Daphnia pulex: one gene and its partner. The protein of the gene in region 2 interacts with the protein of the main gene of each other region in a pairwise test. Links are inferred from orthologs where the notes say so. Each region holds a gene or a part of one and is shown on either strand. Other genes may lie near its edges. The genes, in order: 14-3-3 protein zeta and Golgi phosphoprotein 3 homolog sauron-like.

Region 1 (4,205 bases), about 3.5 Mb from region 2:
TAGTAAGCGAGTCTTATACAAACGGACCTGTTTGGCGAGTTGGCAGGCTTTCTCAGGTGAATTCAGGATCTCATAATAGAAGACCGAGAAGTTGAGAGCCAAACCCAGCCGGATTGGGTGCGTCGGCTGCATTTTGGCCTTGCTGATTTCGAACGCATCTTGGTAAGCCTTTTGAGAATCGTCGACAACGGCTACAAGTATTCAATAAACAAATTGAATTTTCAAAAAATTTGATTACAACCCCTCGAGGAATCAACGTAACCCACTGCGTAGTCCCCCTCCACCCATTTCAAACTTTCACGTCGTCTTTCACAGATGGCTCTGCCTGTTCGGATTGCACAGTTCGATAAAGCCTTTGCTAGCTAACATCTCCCAAGATGCACGACAAATTTAAACCGCTTACGGGAGCCGGCGTCCCAATTCGTGATGGCAAGAAGCCAAGCCGCGTATAGCAATCACGGAAGTTCGTGCAACTAGCCAATGCCAAACTTGACATTTGTTAATTGACAAGTAACCAATCGGTATTTCCGATATCGAACTATTCCAAATATGAGTCAACGTTGCAAGTTTCAACTAATCTGTGTGCGCAATCCGAACGGCAGAGTTGTAACCACAATTTCCGACTGCAATTGAAAATAATTAAACAAAAGTGAAACCATCCACGCTAACCCAAGTATCGATTTCATTTGCGATCGCCTATGCACGCATTAGGTAATCGTCGGTATGCCAGCGTCCTCACTGAATGGCCCATCCCAAATTGGCACGCAACAATCCTTACCGTTTCTGGTATCTCCGGTCGCGACTTCGGCCAAATATCGGTAATAATCTCCTTTCATCTTCAGATAGAAGACTTTGGATTCAGGGTTGCTGGCTTTAGGGATCAGGAATTTGTCGAGCAGACCCTACAGAAGAGTAAAAAAAAAAATTCATTAGCTTATGTCATATCTCGGTTGATAATTGGATCGAAGACTAGTTGATTAAACGTACTGGGCTAAAGGACAATAAAATAGAAAGCATCAACTAGGAATAAGAAAATGGGTTGCTAGGTAACACCCCTGCATAAGGTCGAGCCAAAAAATAAAGCCCGAGAAAAAAAGAAAATGGTGGGAAAAGGGAGAGTTGATAGATCGACCCAAGAAGTACAAAACTGGGAAGATCAATACATACACAGAAGGGGGAGGTGACTGCACTACTTCCTATGTGCGCAGGTTTCTGCCATTACGACTACATAGGAAATGATGCGTCGACCAGGTTTGCTTAACCCTAGACACATCAACACATGGCCATCTTTGAGCAAGACCTTGAAGCTATGACAATGATGCCAACCGTCTAGACTTATGCAACCTTCAGCGACCAAGATGAATACATGTAATCGGAAAGTTTCGAAAGTCGACTGATCATGTACGAAGACCAAAGTTCCATTTGAACATGTTATACAAATAAGAGATTGAAGGATTAATTTTATTTACCAAGACATCGTAGCAGATCTCGCGAAGTTCCTTCTCGACCTTTTCTCTGTATTCTTTGGCCATTTGCTGCTTTCGCTCGGATCCCTCAGTTTTTTGTTCAATGGACGAAATGACACGCCAAGAACTCCGCCGGGCACCCACAACATTCTTGTAGGCCACAGACAACAGGTTCCGTTCCTCGTTGGACAGCTCGACGCCCGTCTCTGTTACCGATTTCATGGCCGCCGCCATATCATCGTAACGCTCGGCCTGTTCGGCCAACTTGGCTCGCTGTACTAATTCTTCCTTGTCCATGCTCATTTTCTGTTAATATATATCTGTTGGAAACACGTAGAGAAAAAGATGAAATTAATATACACATAGATATAATTACAGACACCAGATATGCAGGTGCAGAACCCACTGCTACGTAGTACGAATCTTTCGATTTAAATTGAAAACTAAATGAATGACGGATGGAACTACTGAAAAACGCAAAACAGCGGCCACCATTGGACCAGTCACCACACCCTCCCTGACCTTAAGCATGAATCACGCGGGAGCGTCAGAACCCACCCTCCGTTTGAGAGAGGCCTCGTGTGCTGAGACACACACACACCAAAAGCTAAAATATTAGCATTAATCAAGTTTACTATGGCCTTGAAAAGACGAAGCCACACCGACACTTTTACTTCCTACCTACTGTCAGCAGGCAGGACACAGATGTTGAAAAACTAGAAATAAAATACCTCGGTTGAATTGGCGAACAATGGGAATCTTTACAATTAGCCACACGCGACTTCTTTACAAAAGAGAAAATGGCTGCACATAAAGACACACCAGTACAGACTTTTGAAGGAAAGGAATGTGGGATGGGTTGGTGCGAGCTGTCGCGTAGGGAGCAAAGATGGCGCCTCTCACTAGCTGCACTAGAGAACATTCTACTCTAGACGCCCTGTTCCTCACCGGCTACAGCTTCACGCTGCCCAACCGAATTTCCATTACATTTATTCGCAAAAAGAACAATCTCACGATTTCTCACTTTAATCCTTGCCGTCCTTGCTTACATTTACCATATTCAAGTTTCTCAAACTTACGTGAGTGGGTGCCGAAGTGTAGCGGAAAATGCCTCGCTGGCTGAGCTTTACCAACTGAGAACTGTCTTTGGCGAATGCAAGTCGTCCTTTCCTTCCCACTAGTTTAAATCGATATGCGATGTAATCGATTCTTTGTTAATCGAGTCTTTATTAATCGATATACGCGCGTCGGCAACACAATCGACGATCGAATTCTTGGATGAAGTCGCCAAGTATGAAAGACTGGACACTGAAATGCTGTCGGAGCTAGCGCCATCTGCGACAACAGGAAAACTTGCAAAGAATTCTCTTAAGATATTTTTAGACTCAAATTGCCCAAGATCTTACCACACAGCTACGGTGAAACAAGTTTCATAACTTTTAAATATTTATATTTGTACGGTACACTTTATACGAATTATACTTTCTATTCGATTAAATATCGGAATAAAGGGGGCGCTGACGGTTGAGTCTCTGAACAGTCTTTTTATCTCCAAAAGAACCTTACTCTGTGCCAGAATAGTAAATGGGAGGGAAAAAAATAGAATGTTCTCGAGCTTCAGTATGTCCCTGTGGCCAAATGAACATTTTCGAAATAAAAACATGGACAATTGATGAAAGATACTTGTTTCCAATGAAACTTTATAGTTTAGATCTAGAAAAACTACCCAATAGTCCCAAACGCTCAGCGATTGAGTGATAATTATTTTGGTTGCTATGTCTTTGCCAGGTCCTTGCTCGCTCATCACTCGTCGCATTGAAGAACAACAAACGAGTCATAAGAATACCGGTCTCAAATACTACTTTTACCTTTGAATAAAAGAAATAAACACATAGGGCTTCGAGCTCAGTTTCTTTGAAATTCAATAAATTTAGGCCTACAGCTGCAAAGATAATGATTAATGAATCATAGATTTCAGATAAGTAAAATGCTTGGAGCGAGAGTCACTTGAGTAATTTGAATGTTGACATGAATGTGAATGTATAATATTAAAATAATCCTACTGTTATCGTACTTAATGTTTCAAATGCAATTTACAGAATAATGTAAAATCTGGGAAAATAAGAAAATATCGTTAATTTTTATACATTTAAAAATAATCGGCAACTTTGTAGTTGTTTGCAGACGACTCACAGTCTCAAAGTCTTTCTTTAGGATAGTAAACGAAACACGTGGTTTTTCCAAACTTGAAGTCGAGACGCTATTTCCGCTAATTTAAACCTAAACAACATTTAAAATGCCTAAAACTAAGCGATTCCAAAAAAGTAAGTTTCTCTGTTTGTTTAACTTTTGTAAAAACTGAATTTAATGTTTTTATTTTTCAGTTTCATTGACACAAACTAAGAAGAAGGGTCTTGGTGGAAAACAGCAATTGGTTGAGGACATTAGATCTTGTGTTGAGAAATATTCTTACTTGTATCTCTTTTCAGTTCAAAATATGAGGAGTAACAAACTGAAATCTATTCGTAATGAGTGGAAAGACAGCAGGTAAACTTGGTTTTATGATGAATCATGAAATGTCAATTATAATTTGCTTGGTCGGATTCAGGTTCTTCCTCGGTAAAAACAGAGTGATTGCTATTGCATTAGGTAGAACTAAAGAGTCTGAAAGCAGAGAGAACCTTCATGAAGTCTCTAAAAGACTTAAAGGGCAGTGTGGAATTGTCTTCACAGATAAAC
Region 2 (4,641 bases):
CATTGGGAATCACACCAAAGATTGTGATAAGATGGGAAGCAGCCCAAATTCACATTTTCTAACAACCACGCTTCCCTTGATCTAGCTTCCGGTTGCTAACCACTGTACGTAAAGATGGCAGCACTGAATTTTACCTGTAAAGAAGGAACAAAAGACAATAAAAATCTACCACATGTTGCATCCGAATTCCTGATTTTTTTATTCAAACTACCAATAGTGTGTACATGCAGTAATGAAATAAAACATGTTATACACGTTCTCCCACATAATATAGTACCTAATATATAGCATTAGCCGATTAAAGGGAGTTGTTAAACACACATATCCAAATGAATTTTTGAGGGTCGCAATCCGCAAATCATTTCACAGTTTGCAGGTTACATATTTTTCATTTCATTTATATTGTTGTATTTTTAAAGATGGCGCGCTGCGCTCCCGATGGAAGGTATATTTACAATACATACCACAACGGGATTTCCCCAGAATTGTAACAAAAACGTCTCTCTCCTCTGCCCACTTTCCTCCACGTTTCAACCCACGTTAAATCATGAGAGTTCGCTATATAATAATAATAGTGGTTTCGTTAAATGAATATTTTCCCTTTCACCATTTAAAGAAAACTTGAATTAAAGAGGAAACAAGTGCACTGTGAGCGTGATCGGTAATTTTGGAAATGATTTTTAGATAAATCGAGGCTTCCCAACGCACACTCAAAATGGAGAAAATTAATAACACTCGTAGGATATTCTAAATATTGTTAAAAAAAGAAGGAGGGGCTAGTAATAACTGAAAAATGGTTTGAAAGAAGGAATGAATTGGAAAATCTAGCCTGGCTGCAGCTATGTAGGTATACAAAGGTAGGGTTATTTTTTTCGATGGCCAGTAGCTTAAAAAACGGGAAAAATAATGGAGACGCGGAACAAAAAAAGAAAGAAACTAAATAAGGATCAAAAGAAAGGGGATAGGCAAAGAAAATAAGAAAAATAAATGATATGGGAAGGGATAGGAGTGTACGAAAGGGATAGCAATACAATATTAGTAACAATAATAACGTTATCATTTGGTAAAGGAAGCAAAAACAGCCCACATCAACTCATTGGTTCCAGGTTTTGCACTCTCGTTGTCCAAGTCAAGGTAGAGGAGTTCACGAACCCGTTTCATGGCCAGCTCGTAGTCGTCGTCGTTTAATGGGGCAAAGGCATTCTCTAACACGTCAGAGGCGTGAGCCAGGAAGATGAGTGACAGCATGCGTTTGTCCATTCGATGAGCGTCGTTTACCCACTTGGATAAGACTGCTTCTTGTACCTGTAGATGGTTTGGTCAAAGGAACAAAAGGTTTAATGATATGGCTGGCTTTGAGAATGTGAAGACGTCACACCTTTTTGACAAGACGAGTTTTCATGATATTGTCCGTGAGAGGATGAGTGGTCATATCAAACAAGAGAAAATTCTGTTTCTCTGTCGTTAATACTCCCTTCTCCACCAAATTTTTGGCCAGGCGTTCCCGGACGTTTTTCAGTTGATATCTTAGTTTCAAGGGATTCCATGTTTCTCCTGTAAAAATATTTGAAAATCAATGAAAAATTCTAAAGTTGGAGGATTAAACAAATGACACTCACCACTGAGGTATTCTATCCAATTCTGTACCGTCTCAGGGGGATCTGTTTCCTTGACATGCTTGAGTGCCTCATCTAGGAGAACATCTCCAGTAGGTGAGTCATTCTTGAGTAGAATTTTTCTCCCCAATAGGGATCGTTTCCTCATTCCTCCTTTCTCTAGTTCAACTCTACCACGTAGGCCTAACTCAATCAATATGCATCCACGAAGACCACTAGATATGCAATCATTCCAGAATGAAGTATAGCCCTGTAAAGTTAAAAAAATTAAATTTAGGGGGGAAATGGACCAAGTATGACACAATAAATATTATGTATACCTCTTTATCTTTGAGGCCCAATAATAACACTTCTTCCATCAAGGTGAGTCTTGTTTCTTTGGAATCCAAATCATCCATATCATCTGTATCATTACTTGTACGGCGGTCTTCAACATCAGCTGGACCTGACGATATCTCAACAGGTCCTCCGCCACCAGTCCCCACACGAGCAGTCCTCCTTTGAACAACCCCTTCACGATTCATTTTTCTATCAAAACCTGTAACCAGAAAGAACTGTGAGAAGTGAGAACAACCACTCCAGAAAGCACCAAACTATGAATGATTAAATGCCAAATGAATACACTTTGAGTTTGACATTTGGATGTAATGAAATAATAATGACTTGATCCTTTTTTTGGGGAAATTATTCTAGTCAAAAGAACTGAACTGTATCTATTTGAAGAGTAATGAGCTACTTTGTTAAGTAGAGGAGGTAATCTGACCTGTGCACTTGTGAAAGAATAATACTGGCTTTGTGGCAATACGCTCGACGTCTCATCAGTCGCAGACAACGAAAAACAAACTCAAGAACTCAAGAAGAAGGAAACTAAACTATGAAAAGGGCACTACAGTTGTAACTTCGTTCTGGCTGATGAGTTTGTTGACATTCGGAGGCTCGTCTATGCCTTCTTACACGTATAGAAGAACTTTTGTACACGTATAATCTTTGGCAAGCAGGTAGGGTTCTCTCTGTAAAAACGTCGATTTTTGCCTGGTCGTCAAGGCAACAAGCCTGCTGCTTGCAAGTTGCGACGTGGCGTAAAAAAATTCAAAAATGAAAAAAACCAGAAGGTATTTCCCACGGTACGCGATTCGTATTTGGTGAATTGTGTAAACGTAAGCACAGAAAAAAACGGGAAAATTATGACAGTTATGGTAGTGCAAAGGTTTAGGCGATTTTCTTTCGAAAGAATTGTTATCTTGTGTAAATATAACCCTCGTCAATCAGTCCGTCACTGGACATTCATACACATAAGCCCTTAAAAAAAAATTATCTTTCCCGTCCGGATCGTAACTATGACAACATTAATTTGTGTCAATGGGAAAATGTAGATAGAAATGTGTTGCAATATTTGACCCGATATTTGCGATGAAACATAAATGACGATTTTTATTTTATCAAAGGAAAAATAGTTGTTTTCCTTGCTAGTTTCAATTTCAATTGATAGGTGGCAGCTTTATACCTACCAATTAAAAAATTCCGATGGGGAAATCCGCCTCGAACTCGATTCAGATAAAGGTATAAGTCTAGATAAATCAGATAAAAAACTTATTTGGATGTAACAGGACCTTATACCAGGTTCAATCTAACAAAGTTTAAATTGGGGAATCAAAAATGAATCTGTAATGGACAACACGCTTGTCCATTTCATCCGACGTGTAGGAAGAAAATCGAAATTTTTTACCGACGAATGAAAAATTGATTTGTAATTATATTCCGCAATGAAAACTCGATTTCCAAGAATCAACATTTATTTCCATACATCGCAATAGTATATCAGTATGACAGGATCGTTTGACGCATTACATCAGCACCTATTTTTACCTGCGCTTAATAATTCACTCTATACATGTAAACATGTTGAAGCGGAAAAATCAGTCACGTTCTACATCTGGTAGCCCCGTTGCCTAGTCTACTAATATCAACCGAAAGATGTGTGTAAATATTTGGCCATTTTCTGATCCTTTTAAAAAATCCGTAGAAAGTCAGCAAATATTTTGCTTATCTTGTTACAAGTTGTGTAACACAATTTGGCTCAAGCAACGGTGAAACCAGCAACTAAATTGGTCATATCTCTGCAGTAGTAAGAGCGATAATGGGTCACTTTTCGTGGGCACCTAACTAGCCAGCCAACTTGCAGGCAGCTAATCCGATAATAATTACTGCCGAGGAGTTTGTGTGAAAACGCATCCGGATTTCGTCACGATCTTCTCAGCAGCAACGGCGTTGGCAGCCGAAAGATGGCAGCTGGTGTTCTCCGTGCCGGCTCAAAATCCAAAAAACAAGATTCCGACCGAAATGATGAAACCGCGGCTCGTGTGTCGGGGGGATGAATGCCGACCGAGAGAATCCCGGCATTTGTATGCTACGGGGCGAATCAAATAATTCATCTGACCTTAATTAGAAAACCAACGTTATCCAAAAACTGCAAAGAGCGGAAATAGCTCAGCATAGAACAGTTGATGAGAATATTGATCCGACTCGTCTGATGTTAGTAAACACGTGAAAAAGACATTGAAAATGTAATATTCGCCGGCCAACACACATCTCTTTTATGTTGGAAACATTTTTCGCTAAAAAAGAGAAAAAAAGAGCTAGCTAGCTAGCTATACATGTAAAAGAAGAAGATGAAGTCCTCTCCGGCGCAATTGTTGCCTGCGGAGTAGTCTTTTTGAAAAGAAAACGAGGGAACGAAGAAAACGGGCGGATAGGGACGTCTGGCCGCTTTATTGCCACATCACAACCTCATTAGCTCAAGAGCATATGGACTGGAGAGTTTTTTTTTCCTTTTCCTTTTTGTTTGTATATGTAGCTCGGCCGACGACGACGACGACGACAGGAGCAGCAGCCGCTATTGAACATTCGATTTAAGAAAAGAAACTAGTGAGACTCTTGCGAATGAACAATTGCGCCAACTTTCAAGCCGATGTGTGTCTCCTGCAGTCTATTACGTCTACGCACTTGTGCGCATTTCGAATAAGTA

Evidence for each region.
Region 1: the proteins of Golgi phosphoprotein 3 homolog sauron-like (region 2) and 14-3-3 protein zeta interact in binary tests that used the Drosophila melanogaster proteins (3 or more experiments, as listed by UniProt). The link is inferred for Daphnia pulex from reciprocal best matches to the Drosophila melanogaster genes sau and 14-3-3zeta.

What each region holds. Positions count from the first base shown.
Region 1 is NC_060019.1:12,249,464-12,253,668, reverse strand, and holds the start of 14-3-3 protein zeta, read right to left. Parts: upstream 2,801-4,205; 5' UTR 2,546-2,800; intron 2,363-2,545; exon of another isoform or gene 2,148-2,362; intron 1,787-2,147; 5' UTR 1,770-1,786; coding exon 1,470-1,769; intron 903-1,469; coding exon 779-902; intron 192-778; coding exon 28-191; intron 1-27. Other genes in the region: mRNA turnover protein 4 homolog, read left to right, coding at 3,763-3,790, 3,851-4,013, 4,075-4,205. UniProt on the Drosophila melanogaster protein: Required in Raf-dependent cell proliferation and photoreceptor differentiation during eye development. Acts upstream of Raf and downstream of Ras, and is essential for viability.
Region 2 is NC_060019.1:8,788,522-8,793,162, forward strand, and holds Golgi phosphoprotein 3 homolog sauron-like, read right to left. Parts: upstream 3,053-4,641; 5' UTR 2,380-3,052; intron 2,155-2,379; 5' UTR 2,141-2,154; coding exon 1,937-2,140; intron 1,867-1,936; coding exon 1,620-1,866; intron 1,555-1,619; coding exon 1,379-1,554; intron 1,306-1,378; coding exon 1,057-1,305; 3' UTR 176-1,056; downstream 1-175. UniProt on the Drosophila melanogaster protein: Phosphatidylinositol-4-phosphate-binding protein that links Golgi membranes to the cytoskeleton and may participate in the tensile force required for vesicle budding from the Golgi.